Cricetulus griseus: one gene and its partner. The protein of the gene in region 1 purifies or fractionates together with the protein of each later gene. This does not show direct contact. Links are inferred from orthologs where the notes say so. Each region holds a gene or a part of one and is shown on either strand. Other genes may lie near its edges. The genes, in order: Dapk1 and Ifi30.

The links.
Region 2: the proteins of Dapk1 (region 1) and Ifi30 purify together in Homo sapiens (affinity purification with mass spectrometry; 3 studies listed by BioGRID and IntAct, counting the BioPlex papers as one, with this or other methods). This does not show direct contact. The link is inferred for Cricetulus griseus from reciprocal best matches to the Homo sapiens genes DAPK1 and IFI30.

The regions. Positions count from the first base shown.
Region 1 is NC_048596.1:279,917,264-279,928,011, reverse strand, and holds the end of Dapk1 (death-associated protein kinase 1), read right to left. Parts: exon of another isoform or gene 10,743-10,748; intron 10,319-10,742; exon of another isoform or gene 10,254-10,318; intron 7,625-10,253; coding exon 6,396-7,624; intron 5,930-6,395; coding exon 5,890-5,929; 3' UTR 5,209-5,889; downstream 1-5,208. UniProt on the Homo sapiens protein: Calcium/calmodulin-dependent serine/threonine kinase involved in multiple cellular signaling pathways that trigger cell survival, apoptosis, and autophagy.
Region 2 is NW_023276806.1:248,241,876-248,253,607, forward strand, and holds Ifi30 (gamma-interferon-inducible lysosomal thiol reductase), read left to right. Parts: upstream 1-1,476; coding exon 1,477-1,542; intron 1,543-1,603; coding exon 1,604-1,828; intron 1,829-2,956; coding exon 2,957-3,139; intron 3,140-3,220; coding exon 3,221-3,295; intron 3,296-3,389; coding exon 3,390-3,482; intron 3,483-3,880; coding exon 3,881-4,033; intron 4,034-4,786; coding exon 4,787-4,840; intron 4,841-4,928; coding exon 4,929-4,994; 3' UTR 4,995-5,383; downstream 5,384-11,732. Other genes in the region: Mpv17l2 (mpv17-like protein 2), read left to right, coding at 7,132-7,318, 7,435-7,605, 8,115-8,191, 8,344-8,472, 8,556-8,594; Rab3a (ras-related protein Rab-3A), read right to left, coding at 9,522-9,712, 10,290-10,414, 10,979-11,097. UniProt on the Homo sapiens protein: Lysosomal thiol reductase that can reduce protein disulfide bonds. May facilitate the complete unfolding of proteins destined for lysosomal degradation. Plays an important role in antigen processing.

The DNA of each region.
Region 1 (10,748 bases):
TAACAGAAACACCCAGACATTTGAGCACATCTGTGCTCTAAGGCCTGGGAAGGATGATTCGCAAGCTTCACCACCACTCAAGTGTCCTGTGCATCTTGTATGCATTCTCCTAGGTTTATTTTGCTTTCTGGCAGAATAGGACATGCATGTCTGTTGGAAGTCTCTGATGGAATGTCTTTTTCCATCTATGGAAGGTGAACCATGGGTCAAACTTAGTTTGAGTGTTCAAGACACTAACATCACTTAACACGTCCCTATTGTCTCATTTAAGAACGGTGATGCTCACTGAGCTAAAAATGACCCTTAAAAAGAACATGCAATGTGATCCAACCAACTGTCCATCGGCACCATGACTTATTACCATTTAATGTTAGGTAGGCATGTCCATGTTTAACAACTAATGCTCATACGAAGTCACTTAGATAATTTAGGGCCAGCAAGATGTCTCCAGAGATAGAGGTGCTGGTCAAACTTGCCAACCTGAGTTTGATCCCTGGAATGCATAAAGGTGAAAGGAGAGAACTGACATCAAAAGGGCACTCTCTGACATCCACATTCATGCCATGACGTGTGCCCACACACACAGTAATAAGTAAGGAATGTCTGCCTAAATAACACTTGAGCAATGACAACACCAGCTGGCATCCCAGTGTGCATGGAGAAATCTCACAAGGTCCCACCCCTAAATGAAGAGGTCCAGGCAGTTCATGGCTTCTGAGAGAGGGAAAATTCGTCTTCTTCAGGGATGAGATCCCTGATAGGTTATCCAGTCCCAAATGGCAGCAACTTAACAGGTTGTATTTATAAATTCACATCTCTCTCTCATATACATGTTAAAGAATAAGAGGCCATGAATTTGAGAGGTATGGGTGTACAGGAGAAACTAAAGGGAGGAGAATGAGGGGAGAAGTTATGTAAATAAAATACTCAAACATAAATAAAGTCACTGACACTGGACAAGAGAAATTGAAATGTCAGCAAATCCACAGTTTATATATGAGAAAAAAAACCAAACTTTAGTAGTCCCCTAAATTTGACAAAAGTCCTAAAATTCCATGTGGCTCTTTAAATAAATGGGTCTTGAAGCCAGAGGCTCTTCATGCGACAGCAATGACAGTTGACTCACTTGAATCTTGGTGATAGTGAGGATGCTGAATTTCCTTTCCAAACTTGCTAAAGATTGTAATATCACAAAGTCCATTATAGCAAAAAAAAAGGGGGGGTAGACAAAGAGAATTATAAAGTGTTAGCTGTTAAGCACTAACAAAATAAGGTTTTTCTTGGGGAAGCAGAGTATAGTACACTTTTGTTTTGATTGGCAGAAATACTTCTCTTTAGATCTTCATCATTATGCATCAGAAACAAAACAAACATAAAAACAACATACTGATATTTTATGTGCAGTTCAAAATACGCTAAAGGGCTGAGGGTGTAGGGCAGGTGAGCATTTATTGGGATGCATAGGGCCCTAGATTTTTATCTCCAGAGCCACAAAAGAACAAGTACCGAAAGTAAAAGTGTACCTAAAGATGTTTGTGGAAGCTGTGTTCACAACCGCAGGAAATGCCCTCCTGTTCCACAGCAGGTGACATGTAAGTGACCGTGTGATACATAACGGTATGCTGTGGCCAACAGAACTAATTTTTCTAAAAAGCTTCTAATGCCATTGAAAACTACCTATGCCATAGTAGTAGGTTTAAAAACAGCAAGAAAGAAAAGCATGCAGTCTGTATTGAAATCACATAAAAAACATATATATATATAAAAAAAAAACTGCTGAGGGGGGAAAAGAGCAGCAACTTTTCTTTGCATGAGATGCCCTGACAGCCACAGGGCCCACCCCTGCCCACCTAAGGCAGGGCCAGCTCTGGCTCACTCTCTGCCTCTGGTGCAGTGACAGGCACACAGCTGCAGCTGCACTGACTGGCTCTCATCCTTCTTCTGCCGAGGGCGTATTGATCACAAAAATCATGAAATTTGGAGAAGAGGCCTCAGGGCTTCAGGGCTGCTCCTTTCATGGGAGGCAGGGATGTTGCTGGTTGACACTGGCTGTGACAAAACCTGAGGTGCGCTCAGTAGATGTCCTGGGGCTCTTGCTGGGGCCAGAGCCTCAGAACCAGCTCCCCTGCGGCTCTCTTCAGGATCAGAGAATTCTTTTCCTACATATACGAGCTCAAATACAACCACAAACACATGTACATATAGACATACACATACACCCTCATTCCCACACACATGTAGAACTTAGCATGCACAGGTGGTGGTTACATGCATAGGCATATGACTTACAGGCATGTCTTTGCACATACAAACTTATAAATGGACACACTTAACATGCATGTACATGTTTATACTTGTGACATTTTACATGCTAATGTATGTGCAAGTACCATATTTAAAGGAACAACATGAAAATAAAATAGACTTTAGGGATGGACTGGGTGCAGGTGAGACCAGCTGGGGAGGGAGATAGGGCTAAACTAGGGAATTCAGGGAGAGACAGCTGGGATTAAGGGGTATCAGAGGGATGATATGGAAACCTAGTGCTTTGGAAATTTCCTAAAATATTTTAAGATTATCCTAATGAGGTCTCCTAATAATTGGGAAAACAGGTTCCAACTGGCCATCTCTTGTCACTAAACAAGTACCAGAATTTGGTTGCATTCAATTGTGTTGTTGGCCAGGGGGATCCCATGGAAATCCTCCAAACCCAAGCTGTTGCCAAGACAATGGGTTGCTCTCTATAAACTGAGAGTGGGCCCCATAGCTGAGGACAACATTCACACAATTCATCGAACATGGAGAAGTTGAGCTGGTACCTGCATGGGACCTTCATCCCTATGTTGTGTCTTTGGTGAGGGAAGGTGCTCTGAAGGCTACCAAAGGAGAAACAGAAATACCAATTCAGTCACATAACCTTTGACCCACATTTTTTCCTGCTTACAAAATATTCTAGGGCAATGGTGGCACAGAACTTGTGGGAGTAGCCAGTCAATGTCTGATTTGACTTAAGGGTCCACTCCATGAGATGAAAGATAACTGACACTGTTTGGGTAGCCAAGAGCCAGACTAGATAGTCCAGAGATCTAGGGTGAACACAAACACTATTATACTGTGCTATACCTATACTATAAACATAACAACATATATATATATATATATATATATATATATATATTATGCCTTATTCAGTCATCACCAGAGAAGCTTCCTCTGGCAGCCATCAGGAAATAATGCAGAGATCCACAGCCAGACATTATGTGGAGAAAAAGTCTAAATGGCATGTATTCACCAAATCCCTCCCCTCTGAGTTCAAGGAACTCCATATGGAAGAGGAGGCAGAAAGAGTGTAAGGGCCAGAGGGGATGGAGAACACCAGGAGAACAAGGCTCTCTGCATCAACCAAGCAAGGAACATATGAGTTCACAGAGACTGAAGCCAACACGGGCCAACACGGGTCTGTACCAGGTAGCTTTTAGCTTAGTATCTTTTGGGACACTAGGGCGTAAGAACTAGTGGGTCTCTGACTCTGTGTCTGCTCTTGGGACTCTTTTCCTTCTGTTGGATTGCCTTGTCCACTTCAGTAGGATGGATTTTGCTTTATCCTATTATATTTTATTTTGTCACGTTTGGTTGTTATCTCTTAGAAGTCTGTTCTCTTATAATGAGAGTGGAATTGGAGGGGAGGGGAGGAGGAATTGGGGGGGACAGAGGGAGGGGAAACTATAATCAGGATATATTAAATAAGAGTCTATTTTCAATAAAAGGAAAACATGAAAAAAAAAATGAAGAATCAATAGGAGGCATAGCCATGTAAGGTAGGATGACCTGACCTAAGCCAAATCCAAGACTGACTCAAGTGTGCCACTTGACTTCCAGACCCTGAAGAGTGTGTCAGAAATACTTCATCTCTAAGTTGACTTTACTTGTAAATTCTGTGGTTTCGATGGAACAAGATGGTCTCTCCCAAAAAAAAGATAGCTCCAGGGTTCCCACCCTGTACTCCTTCTGAGAAGGCTGTGGTTTGCCACTGAAACCCTAAGTGCCTGGCAGAGTCCCCTCACCCTGGTGTCAACACTTGAGAGTGACTAGCCTTTGGGCAGGGGAGGTCATGGCCCAAGCTGCACTGTAAGTGCTTATATGGCTTCTCTCCTGACCTCTCCACACCCACGCATGGCCTCACTCCCCACTGACTCAGAACTGGGGAACACAGGGACACCAGCAAGCAACCATTGGGGCAAATGGAGGGAAATGGCTAAGTCCTTTACTAGGGGTATTCCAGGAGTTTCCCAGGGACCCCTACTGCCTGTGAAGGTGTGGCGGTCAGTTTTATGCTACCATAACAAATACCTAACTTATACGGAGTAAAGGCTTATTCTGGGGATCCAGAAATTTGGGTTCATGATGGGTTGGCTCTAGTGCTTAGGACTTGTGCTAAGAAAGCAGATGATAACAGGCACATGTTGAGGGTACCTGTCTCTGACCCCCAATGCTGGGGTTAGCTTTTGATGAGGGTGCTAGGGATTCCCACGTGGGTCTTCATTCTTGTAGGGCAAGTTCTCTTACTCACTCAAATATCTCCCTAGCCCCTCCTCTGACTGTTTTGAGGAAGGATCTCATGTAGCTCAAGGGGCCTGGAACTCATGATGTATCCAAGGTGACCTTGAAGTTCTGATCCTCTTACCTGCACCCCTTAATTGGTTGGATTACAGGGGTGTACCCTAAACATGTGGTTAGGCACAGCCTAATGGCTCTGGTTTATCTTCCAATATTGCCACAATGGAGTCCCAAACCTTGAGGGACCTTTGGGGAACATGTCAGATGTCAACTACTGAAAAGGGTGACAATTACTCAATAACATCCTTTTCAGGGCATCTTTCAGGTTCTATCAGATTCACTGAAGACAAGGACCTACTTCTTGACTGGGGACCATGTCATCTAATTTTATAAATAAAGAAGCACCTAGACAAAGGGTAGTGCTTTCCCAGTGCTGGAGATTAGTGTAAAGATGATCTGGATTCTGGATTGGTTGATACTGTGGTGCAGAACACTGGGATTGGAACCTTTCACAAAGACGACAACTTCTGAATCAAGGACTAACCAATCAAAAGCAATACGGAACAGTTTATTTATAAAACGGAAGAAAAAAAAAACAAACTTAATTCTTTTGCAACATCTTATAGATTAAGTAAAAATACCAGTATTAATATATATGTATGTACATAGTGCATATATATATGTACAGATGATAGGGTAACATTACATGCTTCTCGGGACAGAATTAAAACACGTTCCCTCATATCGATTCAAAATGTTATCACAATCTCAATCACCCCAAGAAAACTTGTTTACTCTATTTTCTCTCTTTCAAGTACAGCAAGTGACCAAACCAGGATCTAAACGGAGAATCCATCCGCTATGCGCCGACAAGGGACTGCCACGGATTATGAGTTGGGGGGTCTTCGGGATTCTTAACGTGGGTCTCCATGACCCTACACTGTGTCAACCTTCTACCTGAGGTGGGAGGGAGTGATGAGGCATGACAGTCTGTAGGTTTCATGTACATGTTCACATGGATGTTTTGACAAAAGCAACTAAAGAAAAAATGTCTTCGTACAGCAACACTGGCCCATGAACACTCTGGGGGAGAGGGTTCCTTTTGCCTCTTTCCTTGCCAAATGAAACACAGAGCTCCCTCCCTGGAAGAAAAAAAAGAAAAAGGGGAAAAAAATACCAAAGGCAAACCAACCACTCAGAGTGCAGCACCTCTGGCGATGATCAGCACACAGCAAGGGACAGAGAGGTAGCGTTTCCGTGGTGACAGCTCCGGGCTGACTCAGATGATTTCAACACACCCTCTTCTGCAAAAGGCACTCACATATTGCCTGTTTATAAATCATACAGTGAGGTCCAAGCATGGGAGTCTCGCCTACAAATATAAAAGAGATAAGCTAAGGAGCTGGTATGGCAGAGAAAGGGTAAGAAATACACATTGTGGATAAATGTGTGTTCCTTTCCTTTTTTTTTTTTTTAAAGGATAATCAATAAGGGACTTTTTTAAAAAAAATGTTTTTTCATTGAAAAGTTTGGAATCCCAATAAAATTACCAGTAAGAAGCAAGGTATTAAGAGGACGAGAGATAGAGTCCAAAACACTGACAGAGGGGCACTAGCTTCCCAAGTGGCCAAAGCAAGGGATATGGTCTGCTCTTGACCATGGGATGGGAGAGAGGGAGCGAAATAAAGGCTGGGAAGCAATGAAGAGGATGCAGGGTGGTGTCTTCAGGAGCAGAAGGAATGAGTGGGGATCTGCACTGAAAAGGATGGGTTGTCCCCTCCCCACTGCCCTTGCATCTCAGTCCATAAAGACCCTGCCCAAGCCAAGGCTGCCCTCACCGGGATACCACTGAGCTAATGGAATTGTAGGATGTGCCACTGTTACAGCTTGAGGCGTAGGCCTCCTGGCCATTGCCATCAAGGTTGATCTTGAACACGGAGGAGGCCTTCAGTAAAAAGTCCGCAGCATCTCGGCGCCCCAGCTCCCGAAGTTTGGATATGAGGATGCCCACGGTACTCTCGGGGTAGGAGGTCCATTCCTGCAACAAGGCATGCACAGGGCTGGGGAGGACATCCCTAGGAGCCCTGGTGTTGGTGTTATGCTTGGCCACCATGTCTGGGAGGCCCAAGTTCATGGCCAGAAGGCACCAGTCCTTCCCCATGGGATCCGGTGGGTCAAGGAGGCGACTCAGTTTCCTCCGCGTCAGTAGACTCAGGTCTGACGCATGGATGTCCATGCCGAGACTGGCCTGTGAGTAGACGTCGTGACACCCAAAGCAAGTGATACTGCTGAAGCTCTCCTTGTACCCTCCCATGGTGTTGGTCAGGGAGCTCTCCTTCAGGGCCTGAGCACGGAAGAAGTCCCGGGGCTGGTAGACCATGACCGGTTCATGGTGCTCCCGCAGCTGCTGGGGGCTCAGGTAGTGCTTCACCGTCAACAGCCCAGGCAAGGTGGTAGCCATGACATTCTCGATGGTGCTGCACACCGAGTCCAGCAGCAGGCAGCACTTAATCTTCTCTGTCTCCAGCCCACGCACCTGAACCTCGATGCCCTGGCCATGGTTGACGAGTAGCACCAGCAACTCCGCCCCGCGGTTGGTGATGCGGCAGCCGCTCACCCACAGACGGATGTCTGCGTCACCCTCGGCGCTCTGCTGGTGGATCCACCGGCACAGGTTAACCTGGACTTTGTGAAAGATGCCGCAGGGGAAGGGAGTGAGGTGCTCCACCGGGACGATGCGCACCCCACCGTACACCATCAACTCATCCTCCTCGTCCGCCCAGGAGCGCTGCAGGCTATCCGTTTTGATCAGAGCCGGAACATCCACCATAGTCCCGCTACTCAGGTCCCGGGCGCAGATGTCCATGGCATCCAGTATCTGTAGCAGCTCCTCCACGTCACTGTCGGGGACCAGGCGTTGGATGTCTTCCATGGTGTAGCGGCCCCGGTAATGGTGCAGGGCGCGCGGCGTCTCCACAGACAGCAGCTTCCCCAGGACATTGGTGCAGAGCCATCGAGGGTCCAGCAGCAGTACATCCTGAACCGTCTCACTCTGCATGATGTTGATCTGCCAGAGACCACAACTCAACGTGACCAGAGGGAAAGGACACCCAGGCCAGAGGCGCTTATCACTCAGAGCTGTGTGGGGAATCCCCTCAGAGGCAAAGATCCATCTCCAAAACCAAACCCGAGCCCTGCCCTAAGCTGGCTGGAGAGTATCAGAGGAGAGTCTCTCAGAAGCAATTCCCGCGGAGGTAAAAATCAAAAGTACATAAAGACAGAGACAAAAGCAACAACAACCCACAGCAATACACAAGACAAGAAGGAAGACAAGAAAGAGAAAAGATGGGCTTCTGTGGAATCTGGGTCTAGAAAGACCCACTAATCAATAAAGGCAGCCATCAAAAGAGATTATCAGGGCAAATGGAAACTCAGCCACTGTCCTGAATCAGGGTTGTGTTTCTGGAATGTGATCTTGTGTTCTACTGAGTTTTGTGTGGGAACAACCTTGTCTTTGGGGACACTGATTTACGGTGAAATATGGTGATGTCTACAAAATAAATCTTAAAAAGGTGAAAGAAAGGAGGCAAAGGAACCATAATGGAAGGAACCTGTCAATGTCAGTTGAGAATATGTGGTTTTGTGGTAATGTCATTGGTTTGTCTGAGACAGGGCATACATATGTTTCTTATGTTTGTTCTTATGACAACCCTTCAACTGAAAGAGGAGTCAAGAATGACACTAGTTATTGACCAGTGTGTCTATTTCTTTAAAAGCCCAAAAGCTGGAGAGAAAAATGTGAGAAGAAAATAAAACCAAGCCAGAAATCACTTTTTCCTTTTGGGCCCTTTAAGGATAAGTCTATGAATAGCAGTTATTCCAGGTGGTTTTCATTGGAGAGGCCTCTAGCTCCACCTGCTGGCCATGGGACCCCTCTGCCCTAGTGTAGCTTGGGCTCTCTCTGCCTTCATCGTTTCAGCAGGACATTGAGAAGACCCCCAGACGGTTACCATTTCATACTATTATTTCCTTAGGGTTGAGAAAAGCAAAGCTTGACCATGGAGGAGGAAGCTAAGGCGCTAATGGCTCATAACCACTTAAGAAGACTACAGCTGCACAGAACCAGCCCACGTCCCTGAGTTTTCTTTTCCTTCCCCTCTTTCTCCCCGTCTTCATTTCCTAAAGTCTCAAGCTCAAAAGGAGAGGGGATGTGATATGAAAACTAAGGGGATCCTACATCATGACTTAGAAAGTTTCTGGTCAAATAGTAGGAGGTAAGAGAATCCTGTCAAAGGAGAAAGTTCCTTTTTATGGGAAAAAAAACGCCTTTTATATCTAAATATCTTTGCCTTTGCCCTGTTCCTGTCTTCTTCCTTGCATTCGGTCACTTTATAGTACGGCTAGTCAGCCAGCCAATCAGCCATCAGTTTACTGGGAGTTCAAAGGCTGACATTACCATTGAGGTCCTTCTGGGCCACTAGCTCTAGATTCAGTATTAGTTTCACAAGTACGCAACTCAGACAAATGCAAGTCTTGATGTGGCACAAAAACCAATAAACCCAGCTCTGTTTTCAATATTCTCAGATGCTTCTAATTGTCAATAATCACCACTGTTGCTCTTGGCCCAGCCTAGCCCATGTGGCCACTCAGTTTCATAGGAGGGAGGAGGTAAAGGCTATGCCATGCTCTGGGGACAGGCATACAGGATGCGGTTAGAACGGTTCCCATACTGGGTTAAGTGACACAATCAAGAGTGATTTCTGTCCTTTCTGGTGGGTGTTGCTTGCTAAGGGGGTCTTTAAGTGTGGTCCTGACTTGGGGACACTGCACACTAGAGTGTCTTCTTGTCCACAGACAGTGTCTGTGAGGACACCCCATGGGCTTTACTCAGTATTTGTCAACCCAGGACTATTTCCAGAGCCAGAGCTTCTCAATTCCTTCAGCGCAGCCAGCCTATGGCTGCCAGGAAGAACAGGGAAATAAGCCATGGGTGCCTCAGGGGGCAATGGAGACCCAGCTACTCGGGGTGAGAGTGACTAACTAATGGGGTCTACAAGACAACAAAAACCAAAGACAACAGACCAGCTGTTGATAGTGAATGGTTGCTTCCACCGGATATGACCTTTGCACACACCTGGCTTCTAATAATATAACCACTGTCCTGAGACTCTTCCCTGAAGTACTAGCTCACATATCACACGCCTAACAACACACCTAGCTGCCTGTTAACATCCTAGGACCCCAATCTCCATGAAGCTATGTGTGCGCGCACACACACACACACACACAACAATGGAATACCTTTCTCCTTTTAGCAACCATCAAACAGATTTTATTCAGTTTTAGTCATGTCAATGAATAATAGCAGGAGAGCTACATCCAGCCTGAACTGGTCTTGGTGCAGGTGCAATAAGGGAAATAAATATGCCCCATAAATAAACTTTCAGGAAAAAAAAAAAAACCCTTGTTTATCATGTTACGATAATGCATCATGGGAAAGGACATTCATGATGGGGGAAATACTTCTGTGTATGTTTATAAATAAAGTACTTGCTTGGCCAATGAGACAGCAGGTTAGGCTGGACTAGGAGTCAAAGAGGATTCTGGGAAATGTAGTAGAGAAGTGGTGTTGCAGACAGGAAGTGACATAGCAAAGAGACTCATATTTAAGAAGAGGAAAAAGGAAGTGTCGCTCTGTTTCCCCTCGGCTCCTGCTCCAGCGGCACGATGTGATTCACCGGCAAGGAGGGACGCCAATAAGGTGCCCGATAAGATAAGTCCCATAAAATATATAGATGTATGGTAATTGAGACTGAGCTAACAGATGAGAATCCTAATCATTGGCCAAGCAGCTTTGTAACTAATACAAGTCTCTCTGTGTATTCATTTGGGCCTAACTCGGGCGGGCAGCTGGTGTAAAGCTTGCACGTGGCGGTGGGGCTCAGGCGGCTTTTGGCAAAAAGATTTATCATAACACATTCACATCAAGCAAAAGCTTATATAGCCTAAACCTGTCAATTAAAATAGAGAACCTCTCAAACTTTGCCCCTCATAACCAAACTTACCCTCTTTTAGGCCTCATAAAGAAGTCCCAGGCTCTTGAACAGCCTCACCTATGTGACTTGCTGTCACTCTGGTTGGTGTCTTTCTTTCTGATCTGCACTTTTGCTTTGCTTTGCAAAAAGTATTCT
Region 2 (11,732 bases), on another chromosome or scaffold:
CTGGGAATTGAACTCAGGACCTCTGGAAGAGCAGTCAGTGCTCTTAGTTCTGAGCCGTCTCTCCAGCCCGGGGACTGGGATTCTTGGCCCTCGTGAGCCACAGACTGTGGCCTGCCTGGGGTCACACTATAGGCACCTATCATTTTCATTACCACGCGTCCTTTTCTCCCTCAGCACCAGAGAGGTTAAGACCTCATCCAGGATCACAGAGCACAGTGCTGTAAGTCAGTCTCTGCCCCATACTCGGGACCCCAGATCCGAGTGCCACTGCTCCAGACTGCTGGGTCACCCACAAGTTTGACTCTGCTCAAGCAGGTGCCCGCTGCGCCTAAGCACGCCCACACGATCCACTTCCCTGTCGGGAAGAGAGGTGTCAACAACCTTTCAGGCCATCCAAGAGGGTGTCTCATGTCCCCGGTCTCCCTGAGTGATGAGGTGAGGCCATGTCGAGCCTGCACACCTGTTGAGCAAGTCCCTAAGGGCCTGCCTGTGCTCATTAGCGAAAACAAAGCCCTAATAGCTCTGCCCTGGGGTGGGTACACATCAAGACTTAACGCTCCGGAGTACTCTGCCCCAGCCTGTGTCCGATTGTCCAGAAGCACCTTTGGTCTCAGCGAGGACAAGTGAACGGACAGCCCGCCTGGGACCCAGTCCCATATGGGTGTTTGCCTCACAGTCCCAGAGATTCCCCCCCCCCCCACGCGCTTCTGCAGAGCCCTTCTCTAGAGAGCCCCGGTGAGGGGCTGCCCCTGCTCACACTGAGGTTCAAGAAGGCCCAGTCTTGGTTAGAGCCTGTGGCTGCTCATCAGCTGTGGAATTCAGGGAGTCGCCATTACCTCAGCAGTCTGCTGCCTCCTTCCTCACAGAAAACCAGGGTCTCCCCAGAACTGGACCGGACCCTGTCCTGAGTCTCCGGCTTCAGCCTGGGGCTTCAGTTACCAGCCAGGCTGGAACATTTCCTGCTGCCGCTGCTGTTCTGTGGCCTGTCACTGCCCCAAGGTCTCTGGCGTCCAGATTTCATCTTGACTTGGTGCAGAGGCTCCGGTCCCAACCTAGGTTACCTGTGAGCCCTTCTGGTGGCCCATTTACAGAATCTGGTGGAAAGAGGCAGAGTCCAGGCATAGCCCGCCCACCCTCCCCGCGAGGCTCTGCAGTGCCAGGGGTCTTGCCTGAAGGAAGTCCCCCCAGCTGCATCCCCCACCCCAAGTCAGGGCCCGGGACCTTAGGGAAGTTGGCCTGCCTGAGCTGGCTTCTGTCCTGGGTCCAGCCTGAATCAGCGGAGGTGGGGGGATGTGCTGGGGCTGATTTGGCCCGGCCTGGGGTGGCGGGGCAGGAATTAATGACAAGGGTGTCACTCCCCCATCTCTGCTAAGGTAGAGGGAAGAAGGCAAGTACTCTGCCTCCTGTCCCTCAGCCGGTCCGTGTCTGGAGACCCCCGCCCCCCCCCCCCCGCCCCATCCCTGATCCAAAAGCCTCATGTGGTGTGACAGGACATGCTGGCCCCAGGAGGAGGGAACACTGGAGGGAGGGCCCTGTGGCCTCGTGATTTGGGGTGCAACACCTGGCTGGGGTAGAGCCTGCTGGAAAGGAGGCCCTGGGGTAGGAGCCCGGGAGGGGCGTGGTCTCAGGGGGCGGGGCCTCCGCCTGCTTAAAGTCTCCCACCTCCAAGGCCCAGCCAGCAGTCGTGCCTACCTTTTCCTCCGCGGCCATGCCCCGGTCTCTGTTCCTGCCATTGCTGCCCCTTCTGCTGCTGCTTCTACCCGAGGCCCCCAGAGCAGCCAGAGTGTCTCCGCTGCAAGCGTCCTCCGAGGCTGCGGCCACCTGCAAGGTAGGGACCGCGACGTGCGGGAGGGGACGGAGGGTCAGGCGACTTCTCCGCACTCGGCAAACTCACCCGGGGAACCCCAAGGAACGCTGTCAGCCAGGGACATTCCCCAACCCCCATCTGGGGACTGGCCGCGGCCAAGCCTTTTCGCTTCCCCATCGCAGGTCTGAGACACACAGCTATCCCCTTCCACCTCGCCTGAGCATTTATTAACCACCTACAGTATACATCTGAGCCAAGAGTTGAGGGTAGGCGGGAGGGGGCGGTTTCTGCTCCAGACCTGTTGAGCCACTGGCCCGTCTCCACCCTCACGCAATTCTTGCTGCTTACTATGTGCGTTCCAGCCGAGGACGGGAGGGCTGGCGTGCTCCTGACACGGAGCAAACACATGCCCCGCACGCCGAGCACCTTGATCAAACTCCGGCTCGCCTCCCGACCTCCCCGGAACCGGAAGTCTGCACGCACTAGGCACCTCCTGTGTCTAGTCGGGCCTCGAACAGGGTGAAGTTTCCCTGGGTCACTGGAGAGGAAGAGTAGTTTCCATGGGTGAAAGGCCTCGTTTCAGCTCTGGTGCGCAAAATTACAAAAAGAAAAAAAAAATGAGCATGCATTTGACTTCAGGGTGTGCGTTGCCAAACAGGGCTGAGAACAGTAACTACAATTATGCATGTCTTATTTTTCATTTACTTTCTTATTCTTATTTTGTGGTTGTTTTGATTTTGTTTTTTGGCGAGCCAGGGTTTCACAGTGTAGCCCTGGCTGTCCTGGAACTCATTCTGTAAAACCAGGCTGGCCTCAAACTCCTGCGTCTGCCTCCCTGGTGCTGTGAGTCATGAGCCACCGTGTACAGCTAGAAATATGCATGTTTTAGCGCTTACTGAACTAGCCAGGATTGTGCACTTGCTGAGGACCTACTGTTTGCAAGCCAGCCAGTTTCCGTTTTGCAGATAAACTGTGATTGCGGAATGCGAGGTAGACTCCAGCAAGCCTCTGGGGGCCCTGGGCGTGGCCCAGCGGGAGACCGCACGCTGTCTGGTCCCCACTGGCCCTAGACTGAGCCACCATGAGCGTCTCGGCGGGGGGCGCCGGGGCCCGGGGTCTGCACCTCACCGGACGCCTCTCTCCCTCCAGGCCCACGATCTGTGCCTGCTCGGGCCGCGCCCGTTGCCCCCTGCACCGCCGGTCAATGTCAGCCTCTATTATGAATCCCTTTGCGGAGCTTGTCGATACTTCCTGGTCCGAGATCTGTTCCCGACCTGGTTGATGGTTATGGAAATTATCAACGTCACGCTGGTACCCTACGGGAACGCGCAGGTGCGCAGGAAACGGGGAAACCGAGGCAGAAGGGGCGTGGGGGGACGGGGACAGGGACGCTCATCCTTCGGCGCCTTGCAGGAAAGAAATGTCAGTGGCACCTGGGAGTTCACGTGTCAGCATGGGGAGCTGGAGTGCAGGCTGAACAAGGTGGAGGTGAGCTGCAGCTCAGTGCGGTGGAGGGAGCGGGGAGGGGGGTCCGGACACTGAGTACTGCAGTGTGCCCACCGCTGCCGTCTCTCTCTGCAAGGCCTGTCTGCTGGATAAGCTGGAAAAGGAGGCGGCCTTGCTGACCATCGTCTGTGTGGAAGAGATGCAGGACATGGAGAAGAAACTAGGGCCGGTGAGCTGCAGGGCTGGGAGGCCAGCCACGGGGCTGGGGGGAGGCAGGGAGGTGACTGCCCTCCTGGGGCTCCCACCTCTCGCTTGGAAACCTTAGGACTGTGAGCAGACATGGGACAGACAGTATGACAGGAGACAAGCCAGGGGCTCTTACTTCCCAGGGTATTGTGGGAAATAACTCCACCCCATCCTCCTGGAGGGTGAGACCCTGGGAAGGAGTAGGAAGGCTCCGAGGTAATGAGATACCAGCGAGGCACGCGCACCCTGGGCCTCAGCATCAGAAGCCCCACCCATCAACCCGCTCTGGGCGATGAGGAAATGGCTTGTCCAGGGCCCTTCGGACTGTTGGCGAGATAACAAGGGGAACTGAACAAAGCCGCACATCCCCCTCCCCCCCAGTGCCTGCAGGTATATGCTCCAGAGGTGTCCCCAGACAGCATCATGGAGTGTGCCACGGGGGAGCGTGGCACGCAGCTCATGCACGCCAACGCCCAGCTCACCGAGGCCCTGCAGCCGCCCCATGAGTATGTGCCCTGGGTCCTGGTCAATGAGGTAAGGACCTCCATTGTGCAGTTAGTAAAGTGTCCTACGAGCTCAAGGCTCTGAGTTCGAATCCCCATGCCGGTGTGAAAAAGTTGACTGTGGTGGCCTGTGCATGTAATCGTGACTGGAAGACGCCACATGAGGGGCTTGGAGAGCCAGCTCAGGGGTTCAGAGTGCCGCTGCTCTTGCAGAGGACCCTGGTTTATTACCATAGGCACCACACAGTGGCTCATATCTGTACCTCCAGTCCCAGGGAGATCCAGCGCCCTCTTCTGGCCTCCGTTGGTACTGCACAAACATGGTGCCCAGACGTGGGGGCAAAACACCTCTACACATGAAATAAGACAAATAACCCTAAAAACAATAGTTTTGTTGTTGTTTTCTCTGTGTAACAGCCCTAGCTGTCCTGGAACTATCTCTAGATGAGACTGGCCTCCAGTTCACAGAGATCCACCTGCCTCTGCCTCCCGAGTTAAAGGCGTGCGCCACCACCCAGCTTAAGATAATTTAATTAGAAAAAAAAAGACTACAAAAACCAAAAAAGAAAAAATAAGACAAAAAAATTAAAAAACGACACCCATATTGAACATTGAGCTCTGGCCTCTGCTCACACAAGTTTTTATGCCCTAACACTGCAGTGACAAATCAGCTGAGATTGCCCTGGAACTATCAGTGGTCCTCCTGCCTCAGCACTCCAGTACTGTACTCCCAAGCTCATGGGTCTTCCCACCTGTGTTTAACTATGTCTTTTGTGGCTTGCAGAAACCTCTGAAGGACCCCAGCCAGCTCCTGAGCACTGTCTGTCAGCTGTACCAGGTGAGCTGGGCACCAACGGGGGTTGGAGGTTGGGGGGAGTGGAGTCTCCCAGAAGGGTACCAACTTCCAAGCCTTTCACCCCCTCCAGGGAGTGGAGAAACCAGACATCTGTTCCTCCATGGCAGACCCCCCCAGGAAGGTTTGCTATAAGTGAAGGTCACTGTCACAAGAAAAACAAGAGCCCAGGTGCTCAGCCTTTTCAAATCCGGAGCCCTAAAGAGATACCGCCCATCAACAAGCAAACTTGTACACATCCCACAAAACATACTCGAAACTCCTCCACATGCCGGTCGGTGGTGGCTCATACCTTTAATCCCAGCACTTGGGAGGCAGAGGCAGGCGCATCTCTGTGAGTTCCAGACCAGCCTGGTGTATAAGAGCGAGTTCCAGGACATCCTCCAAAGCTACACAGAGAAACCCTGTTTTGAAAACAAAAACAAAAAAAATACTCCTCTACGTGTTCAAGAATCTTGCCTTGCTTTCAAATGGTGCTAAATTTAAATTGTTTGAATAAATAAGTTGCTGTGATTCATTTTTCCTGGAGTTTTAGTTTGTGAGGTTTCGTTTGTTTGGCTGGTTGGTTTTTGGTTTGGGTTGTGGGTTTTTTGTTTGTTGAAACAGGGTTTATTTGTGTAACAGCTCTAGTTGTCCTGGCACTCGCTCTGTAAACCAGGCTGGTCTCGAACTCACAGAGGTCCTCCTGCCTCTGCCTCCCGAGTGCTGGGATTAAAGGTGTGTGCAGCCGCCGCCGCCGCCACCACTTTGTATTTTTCGTTTGTTTTGCTGGTTTTTCAAGCTGGAACTCAATCAGCAGACCAGGCTGGCCTCGAACTCACAGAAATCTGCCTGTCCTTGCTTTCCAGGCATTGGGATCAAAGGCGTGCCACCACCTACCGGCATGTTTATGTTTTGAATGTGGGTGTATAACCCTGGACTCCACTGGTGCTCAGCACACAGTCTGTCCCTGAGCTGTGCCCCGGGGACCCTGGAGTTCATGCCTCATCTGAAAAGCCCCCAAATGCGAGTTACTTTTTCATTTGTCATGTGACAAAATACAAAAGCCACTTAAGGAAGGGACTGTGCTGGGTCATCCTGTGTAGTCCATCCTGGGGCAAAGTTGGGGCCAGGCAGCACCCACAGTCAGGAAACAGGTCTGTGGATGCTGGGGCTCTGCCCACTTTCCTTTCTAGTTCTTCCAGAACACCAGCGCAGGGGGTCATGCCACCCACATTAATTACCAGTTACAGCCCAGTGGTTCTCACACTGGGTCATGACCCCTTAGACTCAAATATGAGAGACACATTACTATCATAACAGTAGTAAAATCAGTTAAGAAGTATCAATGAAATAAGTTTATGGTTGGGAGTCACCTCAACAGGAAGGACTGTATTACAGGGTCGGAAGGCAGAGAACCGCTGCTCTAGACCGTGACTGTAGATCCTGTGTGGGTGGCGGAATTGAAGTGACACGGTCCTTGGATGCTGGCAATCCCCTACCCGGGAACGCAGAGCCAAACCTGTCCTTCCTTCCACGGAGCCCGGATGGACCCGGTGGGTAGGGGGTGAGGCTGGGAGGATGGAGCAGGGGAAGGGGCCAGCGTCCGGGAGCTAGAAGCCCAGGCTGAGCACCCGAAAACTGCACGGTGGTGGTCACAGTGACAAGCGGAGGGGCAATGAAGGCGGTAAGGACACAGGAACTCATGACTGCTCATCAGTCCACAGCCCCGGCACGGCGGTGGGACACGAGCTCAGGGCCGTCCCGGGCTACGTGACGCCCGGCGCCCGCGTGCTGCACCGGCGTCTTCAGACCACAGTGCGGGCGCACGGGAGAGGTCACGCCAAGGGCGAGCTCCGCAGCCCTGCGCACACCCCCTCGCCCCGCCCACTCCCGGAGGCTTTGTGGATAAGAAGCGAGAGACTTCCGTCCGGCCCCGCCCCTGCGCAGCGGGACACACAAGACCCACGATTGGTCAATTCGGCTCAGGGGGCGGGACGCTGCGGGTAGCTAGCGAGACCCCGCTCTGCCATTGGCCAGTGCAGGTCCGCTTGTCTATCGGTCCGCTGAGAACTGGTAAAGCCTAGGCGGACTTCCGCGTTTCCGTGATGGAGTGGTAGGCGATTGGCTGTTGCCTCCGAGAGGCGGGATTTGGGGGTTTCTGATTGGTGCGTGTGGAGAGGGGCGGTTCTGCAGCGCAGCATATTAGTGGTCGGCGCCGAGGCGAGTGATTGGCGGGCGCGGGGGGCGGGGCCGGGGCGAGAGCGGCGGAGGCTCGGGCGTGCGCGCGGGCGGCGATGGCTTCGGGCGGCTGGCGCTGGGCTCGGAAGGCGCTGGCTGCGGGGCGACCGCTGTTCCGGGGCCGCGCGCTGCTCGTCACCAACACCCTGGGCTGCGGCACGCTCATGGCTGCGGGCGACGGCGCGCGTCAGGCCTGGGAGGTGCGCGCGCGACCGGGACAGAGCTTCAGCGCGCGGCGCTCAGGTGAGCGGGGCCGGGAGGACCGGGCGTGGCGACCCGCCGGCCACCGGGAGGACACGCCGAGTCCCCAGGGGTCCTGGCCCGCAGCCAGCAGGGTGCACCCTGATTCTCGCCCGCAGCCTGCATGTTTGCGGTGGGCTGCAGCATGGGCCCCTTCCTGCACTTCTGGTACCTGTGGTTGGACCGCCTCCTCCCTGCCTCGGGCCTCCGAAGCCTTCCGAGCGTGATCAAGAAGGTTCTGGTGGATCAGATGGTGGCCTCGCCCATCCTGGGCGTCTGGTACTTCCTGGGTAGGAAGCGGTGGGGACTGTGGCCTTCAGAGCTCGCGATGGGTAGACACTGGAGATTCTCATCTGCGATTGTAGGCTGGGTGGCGTTGACAATTAGAGGGACCTGTTACACAGGGATGGTCTCACTTTGTAGCTCTGGCTGGCCTCAGACTCGACAACCCCGCCTCGGCTTCTCGAGGCTAAGTTCACAACCATATTGCATTTTTATATATAGACTCGGGGAAGCAAGAGGGCTGGGGAGAGGCAGAGTGGCAAGGGTGCAAAGCTGCAGTCAGTTGAGCCTGCAGGAAAATGAACCCTGAGGGTGCGGTGAGGACTGCATTGATGGATGAGATGATGATCCCTGGTGTCCTGGGATGACCTGCTCAAGTAACTCCGGTCATTGCCCCTGACCCTCCCTGGTGCTCCTCCTGGGTCACTTTACTGACCCATACAGCCCACTCCCCACACACAGCCCTGCCAATTTTATTGCCTCGCAACCACCTCAGCCTTTATGTTCTTCTTCCCAGGCCTTGGCAGCCTGGAAGGCCAGACGCTGGAGGAGAGCTGCCAGGAGCTGCGGGCCAAATTCTGGGACTTCTACAAGGTGGGCGTGACCAGGCTGGCCTTCTAAACGTGGCTCCACCCCTACTCAACCTCCCAGACCCCCCTTCAACACTTTGGCCCCACCCACCCTCCTAGCCCTGCCCCCTCATAACCACCTGCCCTCTTAAGGTGGCCCTGCCTGCCTTCCTGCAGGCTGACTGGTGCGTTTGGCCAGCCGCTCAGCTGGTGAACTTCCTCTTCATCCCTTCCCATTTCCGAGTCACTTATATCAACGGGCTGACACTGGGCTGGGACACGTATCTGTCCTACCTGAAGTACTGGGTGAGCTCAACCCCTGGGAGAGAGGGGCTCCATGGTGCGGGCTGGCCCTGTGTCTGGTGTGACCTGTCCTCTGCTGTACACAGGCCCCTGAACCCCTTCCAACTCCGGGCTGCGTGGACTGAACTTGAATGCTGCGGAGGAGTAGGCCAATGGACACACTCCCATAGGAGGTTCTGGAACAGGTCAGAGCTCTGAGCCACATCCAAAACCCAGGCTGACTAAGTCTGGACCAGCTATCCCTTCGGAGTCTGCCATGGAGACAGTTTGCCCATGTGAAACAGCCCCAGCACCAGCTGTCGCCAGGTTTTTCAGTCGGACCAAGAAGTCCTCTGTCAATCTGCAGTTTCAACTCTGGGCCAAACAGTACCCGAGGTCCCCTGGATCCCAGGTGACAGAGGCAAGGACATGCCCCGTGGCCTTTGAATGGGGTCTGGTTTGGCTTCAAAAAACTTCATTCGAAGTTGGGCAGCCATGTGGAAATTTCATTAAATTTTCTTTAATCACAAGGCTGGCTGACGGTGTAGGGGCGGGGCCAGCAGAGACGCAGCAAGGTCCATTCGCTTTATTGAACTGTGTAGTGTTCATAACTTCTAGGAAGTGGGGGGTCACGTTTGACACTCATGACGTCAAAACAGGTTTGGGGATATCCCAAAGTAGTGAAAGTGACTATATCCCCCATCCCATGGGGTAGAAGGTCCAGGCAAGCAAGATGCCAGCCTGTATCAACCCAGTGGCCCACATGACAATCCACCAGCCTTGGCCCTGGCAGGACTTGCCACCTCCCATCAGCCTGCCAGCCTGCTTCCAAGTGATATCTGGTCCCCTCTTTACAACGACAGCTGGATGGGGTGGTTTTCAAAACTAAAAGGGAGAGGTCTTAAGCAGTGAGCACAACACACCACAGCTGAGCAGGGGTAGGGTTATGTACAGGGTGGGATGGGGTGTGTCCAGGGAAGTCCTCAATAAATAAATAAATAAATAAATAAATAAATAGCTACAATAATAAATAGGGTGATGGGATGGGGGCTTGCCCCTGGTGGGGGTGTGGCTCAGCAGGCACAATCCTGGTGAGGAGGTGCCTGTTGGTCGGTGAGCTGTGGGCCCTGCTTGGCGCCTGTGACCGCAGGGTCAGCGGTATCCAGCGACTCCGACATCTTCTCACAGATCACATCCACCAGGCGTTCAAAGGTCTGCTTGACATTAATGTTGTCCTTGGCGCTGGCCTCAAAAAACTCAAACCCTGTGTTGGGGAATGGAGGGATCCCAGGGAGGCCATATGAGGGTGAGTCTCCCATGAACACCCAACCAGGCCCCATACAGTCCCAGTCCAGAAGCCTCCACACTCAGACCTGTCTTGGCTTCAACATCCATGGCCCTATCTCTTGGTATCTCAGAACACAGTGAGACACATTTCCTCTAGGGGGCAGTCACACTCCACGGTCACAACTGCATAGGTTTGGCTGTCCCTTGGTCTGTACCTTGAGAACTTTGTACCACCCTTCCCACCCCAGCAAGTTTTGCCTGCTCCAGGAAGCATGGCTGGGCTCCCAGCATGCACTCCTCTACGCAGGTTTCTCTTTCCAGTCTGAAAACTTAGATTGTTGTCAGGCCCAGCAGCTTCTGGAAGCCAGTCCATGACTGAGCTAGCAAACTCTGTGACCAAGACCCACTGCTGAAGCTTCCTGGAGAGTGTCTGGTCTTTACAAGTATGAACCCTCTGCATTCACGCTCGTGCCCTGATGTGTGGGGTTTCTGGGTATTGAAGGTCATGGCCCCTGGTCCCGTCTGAGGAGGGCTGCAGTCCTGCGGACACTCACCCAGGTGGTCAGCAAGCTGCCGGCCACGCTCCGACGACACCACTCGCTCGTCCTCCATGTCACACTTGTTCCCCACCAGCAGCACCTGGGCATTGTCCCACGAGTAAGTTTTAATCTGAGTCGACCTGCAGGAGGCAGCCAGAGGCTGAGGAGGAAGTTGGAGGATCCAGCCCTGACACTAAGTCCCCTGCCCCTTAGTAACTGATGTGCTTTCCTCATGAGCTCAGGTTGTCCTGGACCTCTCTACCCTGCCTCAGCTTCCCCAATGCTGGGATGACATCTGATGCTCTATCTACTATGCTAAATGCAGAGACGTGACAGAGCTGGTTTATGATGCTGTGGGTGGAATCTAGGTTCTCACACATGCTAGGCAACTGCTCAGTCAGGGACAAGTGCCTCTGCTTCCCAAGTAGCTGGGACTACAGACCTGACCTCCCATTTCCTGGGAGGACAGATCATTTAAATGCAACAGATCAGTGGGAGCCTTTGTCTAGCTTATTGGTCAAGCTGTGTTCCTTCCACAACCCCAAGCCTTAGAAACAGCCCATGTAGTTTGTCCCAACCAACTCTGTTCTTTGTCTTCTGGACATGCTGGGGACAGAACTCGAGGCTACCCAAGCCAGGCAGGTAGCTGAGCCACTGCTCCAGCTGCCTCCAGTCCCACCGTTCTGAGTGGGTGTGAGGCTCACCAGTCCTGCACAGCGTTGAAGGACTCCTCGTTGGTGATGTCATACATTAAGATGAAGCCCATGGCACCCCGGTAATAGGCGGTGGTGATGGTGCGGTAGCGCTCTTGCCCTGCTGTGTCCTGGGGAAAGAAGAGATGGTGGTCAGGAGAGACTGCACAGCAGCCGTTCTGAAGGGAAGTGTGTTTGGAGGTTGGTCAGGCAGCCCCTTTGAGGTCCAGAGACAGTGGATCAGGAAAAGGGGGCTGGGTGGCCTTTGTGCCCAGATGGGTCACAGCAAAATCACTCATTCATTTAACAAATACAAACTGGGTACTGCCCAAATGTCCTGTGCCACAGCCTGTGCCAGAAGTGGGGAGTCACAGGACTGTTAAGAAAACAAGAATCTAAAAAGGAAAAAAAAAAGAAAGGAAGGATGAAGGAAGAAAAGAACAAATTGCTGGGTGGTGGCGGCGCAGGCCTTTAATCCCAACAGAGGCAGGTGGATCCCTGAGTACGAGGTCAAAGTTCCAGGACAGCCAGGGCTACACAGAAAAACCCTGTCTCAACTCCCTACCCCCCCCCCCGCCTTCCCCCCCCCCAAAAAAAGAGAAAGAGAATAAGCAATTCCATGCCCTTGTGGAGAGCACAATGTGAGGTTTGAAAAAGACAATGACTGCAAGAGTGACCCAAGCCAGATGCTGCCCAGGTCTGCTGTGGTGGGATATGAGGTAAGTTCTATCAAAACTTTAATGGGTCTCCAGTGTATGTTTTTAAT